Saccharomyces cerevisiae S288C: one gene and its partners. The gene in region 4 interacts genetically with the main gene of each other region. Each region holds a gene or a part of one and is shown on either strand. Other genes may lie near its edges. The genes, in order: HTD2, CEM1, LAT1 and LSC2.

What was found.
Region 1: mutations in LSC2 (region 4) and HTD2 together harm fitness more than expected from each alone (negative genetic interaction), as found in Saccharomyces cerevisiae (3 studies listed by BioGRID).
Region 2: mutations in LSC2 (region 4) and CEM1 together harm fitness more than expected from each alone (negative genetic interaction), as found in Saccharomyces cerevisiae (3 studies listed by BioGRID).
Region 3: mutations in LSC2 (region 4) and LAT1 together harm fitness more than expected from each alone (negative genetic interaction), as found in Saccharomyces cerevisiae (4 studies listed by BioGRID).

The regions. Positions count from the first base shown.
Region 1 is NC_001140.6:227,967-234,080, reverse strand, and holds HTD2 (hydroxyacyl-thioester dehydratase HTD2), read right to left. Parts: upstream 3,112-6,114; coding exon 2,269-3,111; downstream 1-2,268. Other genes in the region: exosome non-catalytic core subunit RRP4, read left to right, coding at 1-502; DYS1 (deoxyhypusine synthase), read right to left, coding at 785-1,948; SSF1 (rRNA-binding ribosome biosynthesis protein), read right to left, coding at 3,385-4,746; RNA-dependent ATPase RRP3, read left to right, coding at 5,044-6,114. UniProt on the Saccharomyces cerevisiae protein: Mitochondrial 3-hydroxyacyl-thioester dehydratase involved in fatty acid biosynthesis. Required for respiratory growth and for normal mitochondrial morphology.
Region 2 is NC_001137.3:276,155-282,473, forward strand, and holds CEM1 (fatty acid synthase CEM1), read right to left. Parts: upstream 3,473-6,319; coding exon 2,144-3,472; downstream 1-2,143. Other genes in the region: FCY22 (purine-cytosine permease), read left to right, coding at 418-2,010; glycerol-1-phosphatase GPP2, read right to left, coding at 3,776-4,528; THO1 (Tho1p), read left to right, coding at 5,556-6,212. UniProt on the Saccharomyces cerevisiae protein: Possibly involved in the synthesis of a specialized molecule, probably related to a fatty acid, which is essential for mitochondrial respiration. Is essential for oxygen uptake and the presence of cytochromes A and B.
Region 3 is NC_001146.8:489,673-493,471, reverse strand, and holds LAT1 (dihydrolipoyllysine-residue acetyltransferase), read right to left. Parts: upstream 1,950-3,799; coding exon 501-1,949; downstream 1-500. Other genes in the region: TOM7 (Tom7p), read right to left, coding at 1-106; ribonuclease H2 catalytic subunit RNH201, read right to left, coding at 2,232-3,155; lysine--tRNA ligase MSK1, read right to left, coding at 3,356-3,799. UniProt on the Saccharomyces cerevisiae protein: The pyruvate dehydrogenase complex catalyzes the overall conversion of pyruvate to acetyl-CoA and CO(2).
Region 4 is NC_001139.9:975,781-982,222, reverse strand, and holds LSC2 (succinate--CoA ligase (GDP-forming) subunit beta), read left to right. Parts: upstream 1-2,903; coding exon 2,904-4,187; downstream 4,188-6,442. Other genes in the region: SDA1 (Sda1p), read left to right, coding at 155-2,458; MPC3 (mitochondrial pyruvate carrier), read right to left, coding at 4,447-4,887; YAP1802 (Yap1802p), read left to right, coding at 5,642-6,442. UniProt on the Saccharomyces cerevisiae protein: Succinyl-CoA synthetase functions in the citric acid cycle (TCA), coupling the hydrolysis of succinyl-CoA to the synthesis of ATP and thus represents the only step of substrate-level phosphorylation in the TCA.

The DNA of each region.
Region 1 (6,114 bases), on a different chromosome or scaffold from region 4:
GTTAAGAAACGGGATGTTTTGCCAAGTCCCGAGTTCATTAATAGTGAGAGCCAAGAACCATACTCATAATTTGCCCGGCAACATAACCGTAGTTCTCGGAGTCAATGGTTACATATGGTTAAGGAAAACATCTCAGATGGACTTAGCGAGGGATACGCCGTCTGCAAATAACAGTTCCTCAATTAAATCAACTGGACCCACTGGTGCGGTATCATTAAATCCCTCCATAACAAGACTGGAAGAAGAGTCTTCATGGCAAATATATTCGGATGAAAACGATCCTTCCATATCGAACAACATACGACAAGCAATTTGCCGGTATGCGAACGTGATCAAAGCGTTAGCGTTCTGTGAAATAGGCATTACTCAACAACGTATAGTAAGTGCTTACGAAGCTAGTATGGTTTATTCAAACGTAGGTGAACTGATTGAGAAAAATGTAATGGAATCCATAGGCAGTGACATTCTTACCGCCGAAAAAATGAGAGGTAACGGCAACTAATAGGAATACAAAAGCCGCTGTTTACACATTTATAAACTACACAGCAGACTCCAACGCAATTTATGTGTATAAACTTACATAATGTCATGGCTATGTACACACGATTAGTACGTATAGAAATGCAATTGACTCATCTTTATTGCAGACATTACATCATATTTTGTTGATATTATAGTAATATGTTCATTTTTTTATTTATCTCTATATTAAAACAAAACTTTTGCACTAAAAAAAGAAATAGTACAGATTCATTTTTTTTTTTTTCATCTCAAAATTCTCTCATCAATTCTTAACTTTTTTGATTGGTTTACCACTGGCAAAGGTAGCAGCAACAATCAATGGAAGAACAGTGGTGACATCAGCAAAAAGTTTGACGGATTTGGCTTCAGCCTTGATCTTACCCCAAGACACAGCTTCGTCAGGTCTTGCACCTGCATCAGAACCATCGTATTCTTGACCAGTGTTAATGTAAACGGCATAATCAGCACCATTTCTCATCAAACAAGCATTGGCAATGTGGTGCTTGATCAAACCACCACCCAAGATGATCATACCGGCTCTGTAAGCGGCCATGGACATTGAATTGATTTTGCGGATATCTCCTACAATGTCAACTCTTAGTTGTTTTGGAGATGCTTTAAAAGTATGGAAAAACAACATGTCACCGATTGAACCATCAGTCAAAGATGGACAAAAGATTGGAATTTTATTCTTGTGGGCCCAGTACAATACGGAGGATTCGTCGTTGATTTCCTTACCAAAACGATCTATCATCTTAGATGGGGTCCAGATTGGTGAATCCACGTCTTGGTTAGCCTCTAAACAGTCAGCGCCATGTTTCTTTACGTATTCATCTTGTTCTTCCAACATCTTATCCAAAATTGGGACAATCCATTCTTCAAACTTACAGTAGTTATCATTTGGAACAAGCAAGTTACCAATACGATTCATACCTTGGTCACGCAAAGATTTACCTTTCAAAGCAAATTCACCCAAGTAAGTTGGAGCAAGACATTTGATCAAATCTTCTTCCACACCACCAGCAGAAGTAACGACAGCATCAACCATTTTGTGTTGCACCAAATAACGTAAAGTTTCACGTACACCGGAACTGATCAAGTTAGAAGTATAACCCATGAAGATAGTAGTCTTTTGGTACCCTTCCTCATCGAAGCAACCTTTCTTTTCATGGTCATCCAATTCGTCAATATGCTTACCTCTCCATGATCTCATACTATCAATAATCTCACAGGCAGTACCAACAGAACTAGCTTGGAAACCCATGGTCTTCATAGCTTCAATTAAATCAGTTGCTCTCATATTAGTGGCTTCAGGCTTTGAGTAATCAATACCTTGAACCTTAACGAAGTCATCTGGAATAGGAACAGATGCTTTCAAGACAGCGTCTTGTAGTAACTCTGGGAGTTTTTCGTTGATATCGGACATCTTTTTTGCTTTGACTTGTATATAAGTTAACTAAGCAAAACACGACTTTACTCTGCAGTTAGATACAAAACTGATAGAGGGAAGTACTTTGCGTCAAAATGGAAATATACATTACATTTAATTTTTCACTTTACTTTTTATTTTTTTTTCCCACCTTTTTTTCAGTTCTTCCCGTAATGCGTTTACCGTCAACCTGGTGATGGCGAGATATTATGGTAATCTCGTTCGTGACCTTCCACTGTTCAGCAGCTACTAGTATTATTTCAAGAGACAAGAAACACACAGGTAGTGATTATCTGCAGAGAGACAATTACTGGTAGTCAACAGAAAACATCAGCTTTCATGTAGACTAAGTTGGCTTTCTGGAGGTCCCTAATTTGAAATGTGTACATTCCGCTCGAAGAGCTTAAAGACTGACATATGCTCAAAGTAGTGTTTGGATATATATAATTCAAATTGCGGTATCGCAACTGTCTGATTGGTTGTTCGAGAAAAGGTTGGATGCATTTCTGTAGTAATTGGACCGAGAAGGGTCCTTGCATGATAATATCGTCGTAGCCTTCAACATAGCGACTGTACTCTTTGTCCCAATGAATTCGGTGCGGATTCAAAGACATCTGACCATAAGCTACAATATCCATATCAGTAACAGTAAAATTTTTTAAGATCTTATAGTTCTCCTCTCCTACGGGCATCTTGACTGCAGTCTTGTTTGCGGGTGAATTGGTGTACATTAATACCCTTCTCTCGAATAAGCAAATGTCCATTGGACTCGACACATTTTCGGGCCTTTCTTGTAAAAGGGTTCTTTCAATACAGACAACATGTTCATCTCGTATTTTTTTTACGTATTTGATTGATTCGTGGCATGTATACTCCTGGTCTAAGGTGACTGGTAAATACTGAACAAGCTCTCCTTGTCCCCAAATCCTTCTACGGTAGCGTAAATCAGGGTTTCCTAGCAAACTTGCAGGATTTTGATAGTTAAAATAACCATCTCTATCCAATTTTTCGAATGATGGTGGGAAGAACAGGAAATGTTCTCCCAGTTGAAGATGCTTCGTTGCCTTTGATACAGGGAGTCTCCTACAAAGTAAACTATCAAACGCTTTGGTTCGGTGACTAGATAAGACATCCCTGAAAATCCACGTTTTGGATTTCATGCTGATAAGCTGTCTTTAGATAAGTGGACGATTGCCCACCTTCAATGTACCAGCCACGCTCATGTATCGAAACAGTAGCTTAAAATGGCGTAAAAAAGGTAAGATCGAATTTTTTTTCACATGCCTTCTGAGATCTACGTTTCCTTTGGGCTATGATTTAAAAGACAAAGAGTTTATATGTATCAAGTATGCAATTTATCTAAAGTGAAGAAGTATACGTGCGTTGGTGGATAGCCAGGCTTAACTAAAATTTTCTTGGTACCGGAGAACAATTTATTCGACCTCACTAAATAAGTCACTATCTAGATCCTCTGGTACGCTACCATAATGTTCGCTGTCACTTGATGAAGACTCATCATCGCTCATCGCATCATCTTTTCCTTGACCTTCACCTCCTTCTGCTGCTCTAGCTTTTCTTCTTTCCAATTTACGTTGCTTTTTAGCGTCTTTAACAGCCTTCTTTTTAGCAATGTTTTCTTCTTGTTCCTTCTTTCTTTGTTCCTTCAGCCTCATTTTTGCAGCGTGTCTCTTTTCTAAAGCTTTGATTTCTTCGCTTGATTTTTGAACAAATTCATGATGTAACACTTTACCTGAACAAATACCTTCTTCTATCTTGACCAGTTTTAAAGTTAATCTTGGTCCTAATTCAGTTAGTTTGATAGCTTTCTTACGTGGGGTTGGTTGCAAGTTTTCTGAAGGCTTAGGTTCCTCCATTTCCACATCTTCTTCTTCTGTTTCTTTTTCACGCTCTTTATTATCCTTCTTTTCGACCGGTGTTCTTTGGGACTTCAAACTTTGAGAATGCTTTGCCTTCACGTCCTGATTATCAACTACTCTCACGATAGCGTCATCTTCAATTTCAGATTCTGATGTATAGGCGCCTAAGTCGTGATCTAATATCAAAGAAGAAATATCTTCTTTTCGATGCAAATTCGGCACTGTTTTACTTAGATTATTTTTGGCTTTATAAAGCCTTTTTAGGTTTCTAGAGATCTCTACTTCTCGAATGTCAATAAAATAGTGGCGCATAGAAATTTCCCCTGTTTCCCTGTCTTTATTGATCATAAATACACGTTTGATAGAATTCAAAGAAGTTCTCGCAGGATTCAGAGGTGGGAAAATATTCTGAAACATAGAAACAATGACCTTCTCCACGTTTACATCCTGGTCGTCTTCACCAGATCTTTTGGATGTGGAAAACCCGTTTAGCACTAGCAATGGAGGATTTAATACATCATCATTATTCAACGATTTAGGTCTCTTCAAAAATTTTTTGATATCTCTACCCAGAGAATAGTCCAATACTTGAAAAGTAACAGTAGGACCTTGCGGAGTTCTAGCTATCTTTAGGGAGACATTTCCTGTTTTTTCAGATTGAGTGAACATAAAAAGATGCGTAACACCTAATGGGCCACACATAACAACGAAATCCTTCAGTTTATTGGACTTGCGCTCTTTCAATTTTATAGCCGTATGTGGTTGCATGATTTGGCGGAAGTCCTTTACTAATTGGTTCAGAGAATGGTTGGCCAAAGAAGTTTGACCCACTCTGATTACCATTGACTTAGGTATACCTTGTTCCTGCTCAGGTGTAAGCTGTGCATGTGTTCTTTTCTTTTGTCTTCTCTTGGCCATCTTGAAATTTTATTGTCTGCTATATCTGGATTATACTCTTTTATTATTAAACATACTACTCACTCAAACCCAGATATCGAACTAATATCGCGATGAGATGAGCTTCTTCGTCTACTTTTTTTTTTTTTTTTTTTTCAGTGAAAAATTTCAATTTCGTCTAAGGCGATAAAAATGAAAAATTTAAAATTAATCAATGAGCATTTAGCAATTGTACATGGTATACACAGAATTGTGACATATCTTAGAAGCAATATATACCAAGATTCTGTTAAGTACTTCACTGAATCAGCTATAAAAATGTCCAAAATTGTTAAGAGAAAGGAAAAGAAGGCTAACGATGAATTAACTTCTTTAGCAGAAAAGATTAGAGCAAAAGCTTTGGAAAATCAAAAGAAGCTTATAGAAGCAGAAAAGGAAGGTGGTTCAGAGTCCGATTCTGAAGAAGATGCTACTGCTGAAAAGAAAAAGGTTTTGAAATCAAAAAGCAAATCCACAGTATCAACCCAAAATGAAAATACTAATGAAGATGAATCTTTTGAATCCTTTAGCGAACTGAATCTGGTCCCCGAATTAATTCAAGCTTGTAAGAACTTAAATTATTCCAAACCCACTCCCATTCAATCTAAGGCAATTCCTCCCGCGTTAGAAGGTCACGATATAATTGGACTTGCGCAAACAGGTTCTGGTAAAACTGCTGCATTTGCTATTCCCATTTTGAATCGGTTATGGCATGATCAGGAACCATACTATGCGTGCATTCTAGCTCCAACAAGAGAATTAGCACAACAGATCAAAGAAACATTTGACTCATTAGGATCCTTAATGGGCGTGAGATCGACATGTATTGTGGGTGGTATGAATATGATGGACCAGGCCAGAGACCTGATGAGAAAGCCACATATTATCATTGCTACACCTGGTAGATTAATGGACCATTTAGAGAATACCAAAGGGTTTTCACTGAGGAAACTGAAATTCTTGGTTATGGATGAAGCTGATAGATTATTAGACATGGAATTTGGACCTGTTCTTGATAGAATTTTAAAGATCATCCCAACCCAAGAAAGAACCACTTATCTTTTTTCCGCTACTATGACTTCCAAAATTGATAAATTACAAAGAGCAAGTTTGACAAATCCTGTGAAATGTGCCGTGTCAAACAAATACCAAACCGTAGATACATTAGTGCAAACACTGATGGTCGTTCCAGGTGGTCTTAAGAACACATACCTAATTTATTTATTAAATGAATTTATTGGAAAGACGATGATCATTTTTACAAGAACCAAGGCCAACGCGGAAAGGTTGTCAGGATTATGTAATTTGCTCGAGTTTAGTGCCACTGCGCTACATGGTGATTTGAATCAA
Region 2 (6,319 bases), on a different chromosome or scaffold from region 4:
GAAAGTTCATTTAAATGTTTCGCTATTTTAGTCTTTGTAATGTAACATAAATGGCTCTAGTATGCAAATCATTAAAAAATAGCATGTATGTTAATTAAATTATCACGGCTCATTCATTTGAGTTGATAACGCAATTCTGATAAGCATATCACGTGACTGTGGTTCTAAGAGTTACTCCGATCGCCAGTAAATACTTTATGAGACGTTGCATTATTTCTGTTTAGTTGATAAATTTTGATTTCTAGTCTGTTGAAAGCCTAATGCATGCAGATGACATAAATGTAGTCTGTTTTTGCACTGGTGATTTGTAAACCAGACAAATATATAACATGATAACCAAATTGTTTGTTATAAGATACGCTTGTCAGATTGAAATGGAGGGTGTTTCAGAAGGTGACTAAAATATCGAAGAAAAGTATGCCAGAAAAGTTAGCCATGTCAATGGTCGATATAAAAGATGCGGGGAGTGAACTAAGGGACCTCGAATCTGGAGCTCTGGACACAAAATCTTCCGCCGCTGATGTATACTATGAGGGTGTAGAATTGCATAGAACCAACGAATTCATTGATAATAAGCCGTCCTTTTTCAATAGGATTGCAGCTGCTTTAAATGCTGAGACGAAAGGTATTGAACCAGTTACAGAAGATGAAAAAAATGATGACTCGATACTCAATGCCGCCACTATATGGTTTTCAGCTAATATGGTGATTGTAGCCTATTCCGTAGGTGCCTTGGGTCCTCTAGTATTTGGCCTAAATTTCGGCCAAAGTGTTTTAGTTATCATTTTTTTCAATATTTTGGGTTTGATCCCTGTTGCATTATTCTCACTTTTTGGGGTAGAACTGGGCCTAAGACAGATGATTCTATCGAGATATTTGGCTGGTAACATCACAGCAAGATTTTTCTCTCTTGTTAATGTCATTGCTTGTGTCGGTTGGTGTGTTTTAAATATTTCTGTTTCTGCTCAACTTTTGAATATGGTGAATGAAGGCTCTGGGCACAACTGTCCTATTTGGGCAGGTTGTTTGATTATTGCTGGTGGTACCGTGCTTGTGACTTTTTTTGGTTACAGTGTCGTTCATGCATACGAAAAATGGTCGTGGGTACCCAATTTTGCTGCCTTTTTGGTCATTATTGCCCAACTATCGAGATCAGGAAAATTTAAAGGTGGTGAATGGGTAGGGGGTGCAACTACTGCAGGTGGTGTTCTTTCTTTTGGTTCATCTGTTTTTGGGTCAGCTGCGGGTTGGGCGACTTATGCAGCAGATTACACTGTTTATATGCCAAAGACCACAAGTAAATACAAAATTTTTTTTTCCGTAGTAGCCGGTCTAGCGTTCCCTCTATTTTTCACCATGATTCTTGGTGCTGCTTGCGGTATGGCGGCCCTTAATGACCCAACCTGGAAGTCATATTATGATAAAAACGCCATGGGTGGTGTCATATATGCTATCCTGGTCCCTAACTCTCTAAACGGATTCGGTCAATTCTGCTGTGTTTTGTTGGCTCTTTCAACTGTTGCTAATAATGTCCCTGGAATGTACACTGTCGCTTTATCCGCTCAAGCTTTGTGGGCACCTTTGGCTAAAATACCAAGAGTAGTCTGGACAATGGCAGGTAATGCTGCCACTTTAGGTATTTCCATCCCTGCTACCTATTACTTTGACGGCTTTATGGAGAATTTTATGGATTCCATTGGTTATTATTTGGCTATTTATATTGCCATTGCATGTTCAGAGCATTTTATTTATAGGCGTTCCTTCAGTGCTTACAATATTGATGATTGGGATAATTGGGAGCATCTACCTATCGGTATCGCAGGTACTGCTGCCTTAATTGCTGGTGCCTTTGGAGTAGCGTTGGGTATGTGCCAAACTTATTGGGTTGGTGAGATCAGTCGTTTGATCGGAGAGTACGGCGGTGACATTGGGTTCGAGTTAGGCGGAAGTTGGGCGTTCATCATCTATAACATTGTAAGACCTTTAGAACTCAAATATTTCGGTCGATGACTAAATGTTAATTGATTAATATTTTTGCTAATCATTGAAATGATTGGTTTTAATGGATAAATCTCGACATTCGAATAGATAGCATATAATTCAAAAACGATTATAATGGGATATATATATAAGTTTAATAATATTAACTCCCTTCCCATTTCTTGAAGAGAAGAGATGTGTTAACTCCTCCAAATCCGAAGCTGTTGCATAATGCGTACTTCGGATTAGCTCCCACAATAGGTTTGTCTCTTATGAAATGTAGCTTATCGGCCTCGTTATTTTCTAGAGTCAGAACATTGTCCAGGTTTAAGGTATGCGGCATCTTATCATCCTTCAAGGAACAAATTGTAAATATACTTTCTACGGCGCCAGCTGCACCTAAAAGATGGCCAATTGCACCTTTGTTACTGGATATGTACAGTGGCTTGCTTTTGGATCTTCCTGGTAAGAGTGCTGAGGCTACTGCCAGACACTCTGCTTTATCGCCTAGTAAAGTTGATGTAGCATGTGCATTGACGTAGTCAACATCAGTTGGTTCTAATCTAGCCATTTTTAGAGCCATCTCTATTGCTCTTTTGGCACCATTTCCATCAGCAGGAGGGGAGGTAATATGGCAGGCATCACTGCTTAAACCATAGCCCACGAGCTCAGAAATTATGTTTGCATTTCTCTTTTGAGCATGTTCTAGCGATTCCATGACAATCATTCCGCATCCTTCACCAAGTACGAATCCAGAACGTTGTGTATCAAAGGGTCTAGAGATCCCGTTTGTAGTAATCGACTTTGCTCTGATGAAACCTGCTAAACTTAACGGATGCAAACTCGTTTCACTTGCACCGGCGACACAGATGTCTTGCATGCCTAACCGAATAAAATTGAATGCATCGCCAATGGAGTTATTACCTGTTGCGCATGCTGTGGAAACACTATGGGATAATCCTCTAAGGTTAAACTTGATGGAAACATTACCAGCTGCCATATTTGTAAGGATTTTAGGGACGAAATATGGATTTATTCTTTTATTGTCGTTATGGAATTGTAGAGAAGTTTGGTATATGTCTTGAATGGATCCTATACCAGAACCTATCAGGCAACCAAAGTGATCCAGATTGCACAGAGATGTATTGATGGTTATATCATTTGGGTTCAAGAGACCAGCATTGTGAAGCGCTTCATAAGTTGTACGTAGTGCTAGCTTGATAAAGCTTGAGGTTCTTCTCTCATCCTGGCTAGTGAACAGCAGTTTATTGATGGCTGAATTTTCGTTTTGAAAATTCTCTGGAATCTTCCCCACTGTTATCGTTGATGGGATACTTTTTTCTCTGAGTTTGTAGTCCTCATTATAGTTGGGCAAAGATGTGATTGGTGTGAGTCCATTTTTGGAAGAGAGCAGATTCCCCCATGACTCACTTAATGATCTTCCCAACGGCGTTACACAGCCCAATCCTGTGATAACCACTCTTCTTGACATTTCTTTACTAGAAATTAAATTTTAATCCGTTGTGGCTCCTGTCACTTTCAAGTTGCTAATAACCTGATAACGTTTAAGGATTTTACTTCCTTTTTTATCATTTATTTTTCTGAGATGAGACAGAGTCAGAAATAATAGCACACTATATGTTTTAAAAAAAAAAATCTATCTACGTATTTATTTAATCAATAAGATGTGATTTTATAAATGTGTCGTTTTTTAGCATCATTACTTGTTTTGTGGCGAATATAGAATAGGACTGTATCTGAGAATTATTACTCAAATATGTTCGATTTTAGAGGATTACCATTTCAACAGATCGTCCTTAGCATATAAGTAGTCGTCAAAAATGAATTCAACTTCGTCTGTTTCGGCATTGTAGCCGCCAACTCTGATGGATTCGTGGTTTTTGACAATGATGTCACAGCCTTTTTCCTTTAGGAAGTCCAAGTCGAAAGTAGTGGCAATACCAATGATCTTACAACCGGCGGCTTTTCCGGCGGCAATACCTGCTGGAGCGTCTTCAAATACTACTACCTTAGATTTGGAAGGGTCTTGCTCATTGATCGGATATCCTAAGCCATTCCTGCCCTTCAGATATGGTTCTGGATGAGGCTTACCCTGTTTGACATCATTAGCGGTAATGAAGTACTTTGGTCTCCTGATTCCCAGATGCTCGAACCATTTTTGTGCCATATCACGGGTACCGGAAGTTGCCACAGCCCATTTCTCTTTTGGTAGAGCGTTCAAAGCGTTGCACAGCTTAACTGCACCTGGGACTTCAATGGATTTTTCACCGTACTTGACCGGAATTTCAGCTTCTAATTTGTTAACATACTCTTCATTGGCAAAGTCTGGAGCGAACTTAGCAATGGCATCAAACGTTCTCCAACCATGCGAGACTTGGATAACGTGTTCAGCATCGAAATAAGGTTTGTCCTTACCGAAATCCCTCCAGAATGCAGCAATGGCTGGTTGAGAGATGATAATGGTACCGTCGACGTCGAACAAAGCGGCGTTAACTTTCAAAGATAGAGGTTTAGTAGTCAATCCCATTCCGAATATTGTTTTTATTGTTTTATGTTTTTCCACTGATCTGGTAAACACTAGCTGGTTGGCGCTATTAATATGAAAAGAGTTAGACCAAATTGAGTAGAAAAGAAACCTTTGGCAATCCTAACTATGTTGTTTTAGCTTGTGTATTTAAGCGCATATATATATATTTCTGAAAATGACAACATCAAAAGAAACGAACTTATTTAGAATAAAAAGAAACGACTTGGCTTCTTATTATTCCTACTTTACGTCACGTGGGAGGCCCGTTTAGGGGGGCAGCTATGTAGTTTTTCCGAGCGTACTTTCTTTCAGCATCCGAAAAGTCCTCACTTGACGGCTTACACGGAAACGCCGCGGATTGTGGGGCACAGATGATGACGCAGACGGAACACTGCAGAAATCTTTTTACCTTGTCGTTAAAGACGATATTAGAGAGAAGAGTTTGGCTGGGGACAAAGTGCCAGCTTTTCGTTCAGGGCGAGGTGCCAAAATACTTGAGAAGGCCAAACCCCAAAGGACAGGGCCAAATACGTACGCTACGGTAATATCTAATGGGAGAGGGTATAACATTGACCATTTTCGAAGGAGGCATAGGAATTTAGACGCTGATGGATGTTATCAATATTGAAGTTTTTCACCGTTTCCCTCTTTCTCTGCTCCTTTAAAGAACGCAAAGTCTCCTCTTGAGAGAAAGCAGACGATTGGAATTGGTATCTTTCACGTAGCATTGCTTAACCTACGGCCATATTAATGATATGAAGTCATATGAAAATGGCCGAGGCCAGCGGTTCATTCGAGGATATATATTTTATTACCCGGCGTCTCTAGCCGAAGTAAGAAAACACAATGCAACCAGCGTTGGTGGAAGGGCGTGATAATGCTGAATGGGAGAAGAAAGTTGAATAGTGACTCTTCAAATGTGTCCTTTCAGGATGCGCTACTTTCAGAAGTTACAAAGATATCTGTATATTGAATAGAATTTTTTTCACCACTAGAATTGTTCTTGGAGCCAGCACAAGCACTTACAATGGCAGATTATTCTTCCCTTACTGTTGTTCAATTGAAAGATTTACTGACCAAGAGAAATCTGTCTGTAGGCGGATTGAAGAATGAACTAGTTCAAAGACTGATAAAGGACGATGAAGAATCAAAGGGTGAAAGTGAAGTTTCTCCACAGGAACAAAACCAGGAACAAGGGTCAGAACCTGCGGCGATAGAAGAACCAGCCTCCCAGAACATTACTGAAAAAAAGGAAGTTTCAAGCGAGCCTAAAGAAACAAACGAACCCAAGGAGGAAAATAAGGACGTTCAAAAGCCCTCTGATGGACCTTCTGCTACTGCTTCAGAGAACGAACAAGCTGCTGCTTCCACTGCTGCTCCCGCTTTGTCACCAGAAGAAATTAAGGCCAAAGCATTGGATCTTTTAAATAAGAAACTGCACCGCGCTAACAAATTCGGTCAAGATCAAGCGGATATTGACTCTTTACAAAGACAGATAAATCGTGTGGAGAAGTTTGGTGTTGACTTGAATAGCAAGTTGGCTGAAGAACTGGGCCTTGTCAGTAGGAAAAATGAACCTGAAAGTGGCAATAACGGTAAATTTAAAAATAGAAACAAAAATGCAAACAACCGCTCCAGAGTAAGTAAAAACAGGAGAGGCAACCGCTCTGGTTACAGAAGATAAAGGCTCAAGCCGTTTTGGTGGAGTTTTTCATTCTAGTTTCGGTTCTTTCCCACTTTTTAAACGACCGCAGTTGTTTGTATATGAAGGTGCAAAATTTGTTGCATACG
Region 3 (3,799 bases), on a different chromosome or scaffold from region 4:
CAAATGGGATCCAGCCATAATGTGCTACATTATGAGTCAAAGTTAAAATTTTGGAAATACGTTCTTTAGATTCATCGCTTAAGATAAAAGATGGTAGGAAACTCATGGTTTATTTGTTAAAAGCTAATTTTGGCAAATATTGAGAGATAAGAGGGAACTAGTTTCTTTCACCGAACAATAATATACGAAAGTAGTATGCTAAACTTTATGCGTTATATCCTATATCCCACTCCTTTGTTAATTTCAACCAATTCCACATGAGGTGAAAAAACAAAGATGTTGACGCACCGTTTGACGTGATTTATTTATATCATTTTGAGACAGAAGAGAGAGAGGATTTAGATTCGAAGACAAGCGAAGTATTTCAGTATAATGTATACGTATTTGAGTATTTGAGTATTTTTTTTTTTTTTTTTTTAATTTTTTATATATACAAAATAACAAATTGATATTTTCTCCAAGATACGCATTTACTGGCGAATTTTATTTTCATTCTAACCTCACAATAGCATTTCCAAAGGATTTTCAATAACAGTTTTCAATTCCTTCATGAATTCTGCACCTTTGGCGCCATCAATGGTTCTATGATCAAAGGTCCCTGTTATGGTAACCTGGTTATCAAAGGAGAATCCGTTCTCAGCAGCGGCGTCTTCCACAGCGACCCTTTCAACAGTAGCGATGGCCAAGATTGTAGACTGTGGTGGGTTGATAATCGAAGTAAACATGTTAACAGCATTATTCATGCCCATATTGGATATGCAAATGGTCCCACCTTGGAATTCCTCTGGTGCCAATTTGTTTATTCTGGCACGCTTGACTAGTTCCTTGATTTCGTTAGAGATTTGCGACAAGCCCTTGGCCTCACAATTCTTGACAATTGGTGTCAATAATCCTGTTGGTGTGGCAACAGCGACTGAGACATCGACATTCTTGAATTTACGGATAACGTTCTCATTAGGTAACCAGTAGGCATTGGCATCTGGCACCCTCTTAGCCGCAACAGTGATGGCTTTTACTAATAGGTCATTAATGGACAGTTTGTACTTGTCGTTTGCTGTAGCGTTCAAGGACTGTCTCAATTTCAAAAGTTTGGAGATGGATATCTTGGAGGAAACGATGTATGATGGAATGCCTTGAGTAGATTGCAATAAACGTTCTCCAATGATGCTTCTCATGGTTGAAATTGGAACATCCTCATATGATGCTGTAGAAGAAGGCGATGGAGCAGAGCCAGCAGTAGTGCTTGAGGTAGCGGCGGCAGGAGTGGCGGCGGCAGCACCACTGGTTTGAGAAGACTGCTTAGACGACTTTTCTAGATATGACTCAATGTCAGCCTTGGTAATTCTACCGCGGGGTCCAGTGCCGTGAACATCCTTCAAAGAAATACCCTTTTCCAAGGCGATAGTCTTGGCAAGTGGAGAGGCAAAAATCCTACCTTGAGGAGCAGCAACGTCAGATTTCTTAGCTTCAGGTGCAGAAGTCTTGGTCTCTTCAGCTGGCGCTTCTTGTTTCTTTTCTGCCTGTGGTTCGGCAGGCTGAGCCTTCGTACTGGTCTTTGAATCAGAACCTGAATCCTCCAGCTTAAAGTCCTTAAAAGCTGGCACATCAGCTTTGTCCTCCACATAGACGGCAATAGGCTTGTTGACAGGAATGTCCTTTGTACCTTCAGGAACTAGAATCTTGGCTAAGTAACCATCTTCTTGGAACTCAAAGTCCATTTGAGCCTTGTCTGTTTCTATTTCGGCAATAACTTCACCGGGAGACAATTGGTCACCTTCCTTCTTAGTCCAAGCAGCAAGATTACCTTGCGTCATCGTAGGAGACAGTGCCGGCATACCAATAATGGTGTGCTCTGGGTACGATGCGTAGCATCTCAATTGCAGTCTCAATGATCTGGTGAGTACTGAACTTCTGGATATTCTTGGAACCACCCTGACAAAGGCAGACATAGTACGCTAATAACTATTAATTTTACTGGATGCAGTTTACAGCAATGGAAGATGTTGAGCGTGAACAAACAGGAAACGTAACAGCCTCTCTTCTAGTCGTTCCGGTTGGTTGTCTCGACCTCTTGTTGTTCTTTGCGTAACACGGGGGGTGAGAAGGGCCGGTCACGCTTCACGGATAGTAGAAACGGCAAAGCATAGTAGCAGATGACTTGTATGAGTTATTGAAGTTATGACATATGTAGTATTACATGAAGATATATAGTATGTGCAAACTGGAGGTGATCACCGGTACCAATTATCTAGGGTTCTCAGCCTCTTCCTTCTAACAGGCTTAGCGACCATCTGGAGCTGCAATTGCTTGGTTTTTTGTGCGGCGTTCTTCCTGCTGTCCATATATTGTTCTTCCCACTTGATAGGGATACTATTCTTACTGGCGTCATCTAACAGAGTCTGGCATGTCTGCCATGAGAATCTTACCATGTTGGCGGGCCAGCCCATAAGACTTGTCTGGTTGCGCTTCAGCCATGCGACTGTCTTCGGGTCGGAGGGGTATCCAGAACCCAGGATCTCATCGGGATCCCTCTTCAAGGATTCGACTAGTATATCTCTGGTCACTTTTGCAACGACACTCGCCACACTGACCATGCAGTAGAGCGAGTCTGCCTTCTTGGCGACCGTAAACTTGACACCAGGAAATCGTTGCTCCAGTTTCTTCTGATAGGACGCTGGTGGTCCAACAGTATCCACATACACGTGACTGAGCTTCACGTTCTGCTTTATCACGCCATCAATGAGTGCCATTGTGACATCGTGCGCCTGCTCATTCAAGTTATAGTTTCTCGTCGGTGGGAACTTGCTCATTCCTCTAGAGATATCCAACGGAGTGATGCACGTAGTTGCGTAGCCGATCTGGGTTAGTTCTTCGTTGTCCTGGTATATCTTGGAAAACAGCATTCTTCTGATGGGATCTGTAAGTTTTTTAGAGTCGTCAAACTCGTAGTTAGGGATTATAGTTTCGTCCTGATATTTCTGTGTAGAATAGGCTACTGCGTAGACCATTGGCCCTAATACGGGCCCTCTGCCAGCTTCATCGATACCCATTATTATTGGAGAGTCATTCTGTTCCAAGAGCGCGCTTGGGACAGGTGAAAAGTACGACTTAGTGTAAGGAGACTCCAAGGATGCTTCTACCGTGGGGGGTACCATTTAATCGTATCAATTTGGTGTGCAGTAGTTGTTTTCAAGGTTTTTCGACACTCTCATTAGCTATAACTGAATATTTATATTGGATTTTTCGCGTAGCGTAGTTTATTGGTGTAGAGAAAAAAAAAAAATTAAATGCCATTCTAATTATTTACAGTATATGTCTGATTTATTTACAAAAGCATTGGCAGGCGTCGCAAAATTTACTGCCTGTTTACATCATCCACACAGCCAAAGGGCAGAACCTCTTCTATCCTCTTCTTGTCGCAAAATAGCATGCACAATCTATCTATGCCAAGGCCAAAGCCACCTACTGGAGGCATACCGTATTTCATCGTCTCAACATACTGGTAGTCAATAACAGGCGATAAGGTCTCAGTTTTGTTTCCTGTCAATTCGTTAATCTGCTTTTGTTGTAGAAACTTCTGCAGTTGTAATTGGGGGCAATTTTCCTCTTCGTAAGCATTGATGTATTCCTTACCTTTGATGAAGACTTCGAATCTCTTCGTGACTTGCTTATTTTGCGGATCCGTCTTGGCTAAGGGCGATAATATTGCAGGTTGATGGTATATTACCGTAGGCAAGGTTGATTGACAATGGCGCTGCTCGAGGAACACGTCCGATAGTTTATTTAGGATTTGCAGCGA
Region 4 (6,442 bases):
TAAACTCATCTCATCGCAGATAACCATAACACGCTTAACAGATAGAACGTTCTACCACTAAAAAAACATATCAAACGTCACTTTTTTGAATAAGTAATAATAGTTAAGGAGGAAGCACAAGACGCACTGAATATACCAATCAAGGGCATCAACAATGGGTAGAAGAAGTAGAGCAGCTATGCTCCCAACAAATATCATTCTTTTACAGAATTTGGTAAAGCGTGACCCAGAGTCCTATCAAGAGGAGTTTCTTCAACAATATGCACATTATGAATCGCTAAGGGACATTTTTATGTTAAATGGGCTTGCTGGAGGTGATTCTGCAGCTGCCACTAATGGGCTCGATGTAGGAAATGGATCTTCTACAATGGCAGGTACTAACGGTACCACCATGAGCACTTCAACTTCGCAACTTATTGAATTGGTTGGCTTCGTATCTCAAGTCTGCTCATGTTTTCCTCGTGAAACTGCAAACTTCCCGTCTGAATTAAAGCAGCTTTTGCTGGAACACCATAAGTCCTTGCCATTTGAATTGAAAGAAAAAATCTTAAGTTGTTTGACGATGTTAAGGAATAAGGACGTCATTACTGCTGAGGAATTAATTCAAAGCTTATTTCCTTTATTGGTTGCTTACTCTTCCCATGGTAATTCACTCGGCGTTAATTCACACGCCAAGGAATTGAGGAAAATCATTTATACAAATTTAATTTCTTTATTAAAAAGTTGTAATACTAATGGTAAAAATCAAAAATTGAACAAATCTACGCAGGCCGTTTGCTTTAATTTGTTAGATCAACCAGATTCCCAGGGAATCTGGGCCACAAAATTAACCAGAGAACTTTGGAGACGTGGTATTTGGGATGATTCAAGAACAGTAGAAATTATGACCCAAGCAGCATTACATCAGGATGTTAAGATTGTCATGTCTGGTGTGATGTTTTTTTTGGATGCTGACAGAGAACGTGAAGAAAATTTTGAAGAAAATTCCGAGGATGAGGATGGGTTTGATTTAGATGCATTAAGGCATAAGATGCAAGTCAATAAAAAAACGGGTAGACGTGGTAAGAAGCTGGAGAATGCCATAAAAACTGTGAAGAAGAAGAAGAAGAACGGACCGGGTGCTCCTCAAGGGTATTTAAACTTCAGTGCTATCCACCTTTTGAGAGATCCACAAGGATTTGCCGAAAAATTGTTTAAGGAACATCTTTCAGGCAAAACGAAAAACAAATTTGACATGGAACAAAAAATATCTTTGATGCAGCTGTTATCAAGGTTGATTGGTACCCATAAGTTAATTGTTTTAGGAATTTATACTTTTTTTTTAAAGTACTTAACTCCGAAACAAAGAGATGTTACAAGAATTATGTCCGCATGTGCCCAAGCATGTCATGATCTTGTCCCTCCTGAAGTTATAAATGTCATGGTGAGAAAGATTGCAGACGAGTTTGTATCAGACGGTGTTGCCAATGAAGTCGCTGCTGCAGGCATTAATACCATTAGAGAAATATGCTCTCGTGCACCTTTGGCTATCGATGAGATTCTACTACAGGATCTGGTAGAATATAAGGGGTCTAAAGCTAAAGGTGTCAATATGGCTGCCAAGTCATTGATAGCGTTGTATAGAGACGTGGCACCAGAAATGCTAAAGAAGAAGGATCGTGGTAAGAATGCCGCCATGGAAGTACAAGAAGCCAAGAAAGGAGGTAAAGATTCAAAAAGACCGCAATTTGGTGCCGACAACAGTGTTCAAGGGATTGCTGGTATCGAACTGTTAGCCAAATGGAAGAAAGAACATGGTGAAGAGAGTGAAAATGAAGACGCTGATGCCAACTGGGAAGTAGATGTCGATAGCGAAGAAGACGATGTCGACGGTGAGTGGGTCACCATGGATAGTGATAAAGAATATGACGTTGATATGGAAGATAGTGACGATGAAAAAGACAATGCTAAGGGCAAGGAATCAGATTCCGATTTGGAACTAAGCGATGATGACGATGAAAAAGAAGTGAAGGATGAGCAAGAAGATGCAGATATAGATCCCGAAGCTGCCTTCCGTGAAATTGCTTCTACACGTATTTTAACTCCGGCAGATTTCGCTAAACTACAAGAATTGCGTAATGAGGAAAGCGTTGCTAAAATAATGGGTATCCACAAACAAGACAAGCGTGAAGAGTTAGTTGATGCAAGTACACTAACAGGCCCTATCAAATACAAACAGTCTCGTGAGGAAAGATTACAAAAGGTGTTGGAAGGTCGTGAAGGTAGAGACAAATTTGGTAGTAGACGCGGTAAGCGTGACAACATGCGTTCTACTACCAACAGAGAAAAAGAAAGAAGGAAGAACTTTGTTATGTCTATTCACAAGAGATCTGTTAGAGGTAAACAAAAAATGTCACTACGAGACAAGCAAAAAGTGTTACGTGCACACATCACCAAACAAAAGAAGAAGGGGTATTAGACGACATCGTAGCCATATTAATATATACATACATATACACAGATACATTCATCTCTCCAACTGTATGAGGACTTCTCTACCTTGAATGGAACACCAAAGCCAGGTAGATACTAAAAAAAACTCTTTTTATGTCTTGGTACAGAGAAAAATGCTCCAACTGGTATCGATTATGTGTTCATCGGGAATTCTCGGCTTTTCCCCGCAGCGGCGGAGTGAGTATTCTAAAAGTTGGTTGGCCTTTCAATTGCCGCGTAGTCAACATCTTTGAGGTTTTATATAAGATCGACGTTTTCCTTATCAGCACTTTGACGTTTTCTCTCGAAAAATAACAGTGACTATAGAGCGATAGTCCAGTTTTTTTGTAACTGACTTTTAGGTAGTTAGGATTAATAAGGATTGAGTCAATACAATCGAAAAAAATACTGAAGCATTGCAACTGAACAAAATGTACTCAAGAAAATCCTTATCCCTAATTTCAAAGTGTGGGCAATTAAGCAGGCTAAACGCGCAAGCTGCTTTACAAGCAAGGAGACACTTGTCAATTCATGAATACAGGTCAGCTCAGTTATTGAGGGAATACGGTATTGGTACTCCAGAAGGATTTCCAGCGTTCACTCCCGAAGAGGCTTTCGAAGCAGCCAAGAAATTAAACACTAACAAACTGGTCATCAAGGCGCAGGCATTGACCGGAGGTAGAGGTAAAGGTCACTTCGACACCGGTTACAAAAGCGGTGTTCACATGATCGAAAGTCCTCAGCAGGCAGAGGATGTTGCAAAAGAAATGCTCAATCATAACCTGATTACTAAACAGACGGGAATAGCGGGGAAGCCAGTATCTGCTGTATATATAGTGAAAAGAGTAGATACAAAGCATGAAGCTTATTTATCTATTCTAATGGACAGACAAACCAAGAAACCGATGATCATTGCGTCCAGTCAAGGTGGTATGAATATTGAAGAGGTGGCTGAGAGAACCCCAGATGCTATAAAGAAATTTTCAATTGAAACTTCAAAGGGATTGAGCCCACAAATGGCCAAGGATGTTGCCAAGAGTCTCGGTTTCAGTCCCGATGCACAAGACGAGGCAGCAAAAGCTGTTTCCAATTTGTATAAAATATTCATGGAAAGGGATGCTACACAAGTGGAGATTAACCCTTTGAGTGAAATTGAACATGATCCAACCCACAAAATCATGTGTACAGACGCCAAATTTGGGTTTGATGATAACGCATCATTCAGACAGGAAAAGATATATTCCTGGAGGGACTTATCACAAGAAGATCCTGATGAAGTTAAGGCAAAGAAGTATGATTTGAATTTTGTTAAGTTGAAGGGTAACATTGGATGTTTAGTCAATGGTGCTGGTTTGGCTATGGCTACTATGGATGTCATCAAATTAAATGGAGGCGATCCTGCGAACTTTTTGGATTGTGGTGGTGGTGCCACCCCTGAGACCATCAAACAAGGTTTCGAATTGATCTTATCCAATAAGAACGTAGATGCAATTTTCGTCAATATTTTCGGCGGTATCGTAAGATGTGACTATGTTGCCCTGGGGCTGGTAGAAGCCGCCAGAGAACTAGAAGTTAGGGTCCCCATTGTGGCACGTTTGCAAGGTACCAAAGTAGAAGAAGGCCGCGACATTATCAATAAGTCAGGCGTGAAGATTTATTCGTTTGATGAATTAGATCCTGCTGCTAAAAAGGTCGTTGAATTGACCCAAAATTAAGCTTCTCGAGAAAAACAAAAGAGTTAATAATAAAGTATATATGCTTTTTTACTATTAATAAAGTTTCTTATTTTCCCTACATGTATACATACATATAAATATACTCTTTTGGAAAAAATTTCTTTTTTTTTTTTTTAATTTTTTTATATTTTTCCATCTTTTGATGTAATATAGAGGTTATATAATGAAAGAATATATAAGAGGTCATAAAAAATCATTAAAAAAATGCGAGTTCAGGAACATATTATCGTTTACGTAATCAGTGCGTTATTGGCGGATTAGTACCGATCACACCTTTGTTCATCGATGTGGATGCAGTTTGCTTTGCTGCGACGGCTGCAGGAGTCTCCCCTTTTATTATGTAGTGAATAACCTGTTTAAAAGAATCACCGTTCCGTATCCTAAAGTTAGCAATTCTTGTTAGATGGTAGCCTGCAGTGCAACCCAGGAAAAAATTGACGGAAGCTAACAGATAGTTCTTGGGCTTGATGACAAACGACCAACGCGTCCAAATCAGTGCCGTCGCTAATAAAGATAAATTTTGTGCTCCTGATACCTTCTCAACAGGCCTCTTAATATCATTTAGCCCTGCGAAGACCAGCCCCCACTTCAAAGTTGGGGCCCAGAAGTGTACTGTTTTAGGGCCTGTTTCACTATTCCAAAATCTTCTAAAGGCAAAATTAAAAGCTGATGCTGACATTAAAAATATAGGTTTGTGTTTCTATGTGTCTTGAATGCTTATGCGTATAGTCTTAAAGACTGATTGTATTCTTTTTTTTTATATGAAGTATTTCCGCCGTAATGAAAGGGAAAAGAAAATTTTCTCCAATACTCCAATTGCAACGCACCATATTATCCGGGAGAATACACGCACGCAGCCGCATATATATATATGATGGCCTTAGTTTTGTTTGAGCCTTTCGGTTTTGCGTGACCAAACCAGGGAGCGGCTCGCTTGACCCGCCCACGGAATGACGTAAAGCCGTTAATAGCCGATTGGCGGGAGAAATAAAAGCGGGGCACTCCCAAGATGAGGGGTAATCGGGGTAATAATATCCAATCAAGGAGGAAAAGGGCCAAATGTTACCCGACTATCCAAACTGCAGGGTAACCTTTATTTTTTCTTTTCTTTTACTCCTACCATTTTTTTTTTCAGATTTTTCCCAGTATGGCTTTGTTTTCATTTTGCTTTGGTGGAGGGATAGATTAAGTTTGCAGCTGCGTAGAAAAGTTTCTTTTCTACATTCGAGGAAAAAGTCGACTTATTAGTCTGGTTAACTTGTTATTAGGGCTTCTTGCTTGAGTTATAATTTTAGAAGGAGAAAAAATAAATCTGTAGCAGGAGTACCAATTTGCTACGCTTGCTAACATCTACGAGAGTAACAATATCAAGCATACAAGCGCGACTGTCTCGGCTACCCCTATAATAGATATAGAGGCGTGTTTGTGAAACAATGTCTTCATTATATACTAAGTTGGTTAAAGGGGCGACCAAAATAAAGATGGCCCCTCCAAAGCAAAAATATGTGGACCCTATTCTCTCGGGCACTTCGAGCGCAAGAGGATTGCAAGAGATTACCCACGCATTGGATATAAGGTTGTCTGATACAGCCTGGACCATTGTTTATAAGGCATTGATTGTGTTGCATCTGATGATACAACAAGGCGAAAAAGATGTCACGCTAAGGCACTATTCCCATAATTTGGATGTTTTCCAATTGAGAAAGATTTCGCATACTACTAAGTGGTCTTCCAATGATATGAGGGCTTTGCAGAGATACGACGAATACCTAAAAACACGTTGTGAAGAGTATGGCAGGCTAGGTATGGATCACCTACGAGACAATTACTCCTCGCTAAAGCTGGGCAGTAAGAACCAGCTTTCAATGGATGAAGAGCTAGATCATGTTGAATCATTGGAAATTCAAATTAATGCCTTGATAAGGAATAAATACTCTGTTTCAGATTTAGAAAACCATTTGTTATTGTATGCATTCCAATTGTTAGTACAAGATTTACTAGGTCTGTACAATGCTCTTAATGAAGGTGTCATTACACTTTTAGAATCATTCTTCGAATTGTCCATTGAGCACGCAAAAAGAACACTGGATCTCTATAAGGATTTCGTGGATATGACAGAATATGTTGTTAGATACCTAAAAATAGGAAAAGCTGTCGGTTTGAAAATCCCCGTTATCAAACATATTACTACAAAGTTAATTAACTCCCTTGAGGAGCATTTGAGAGAGGAAACA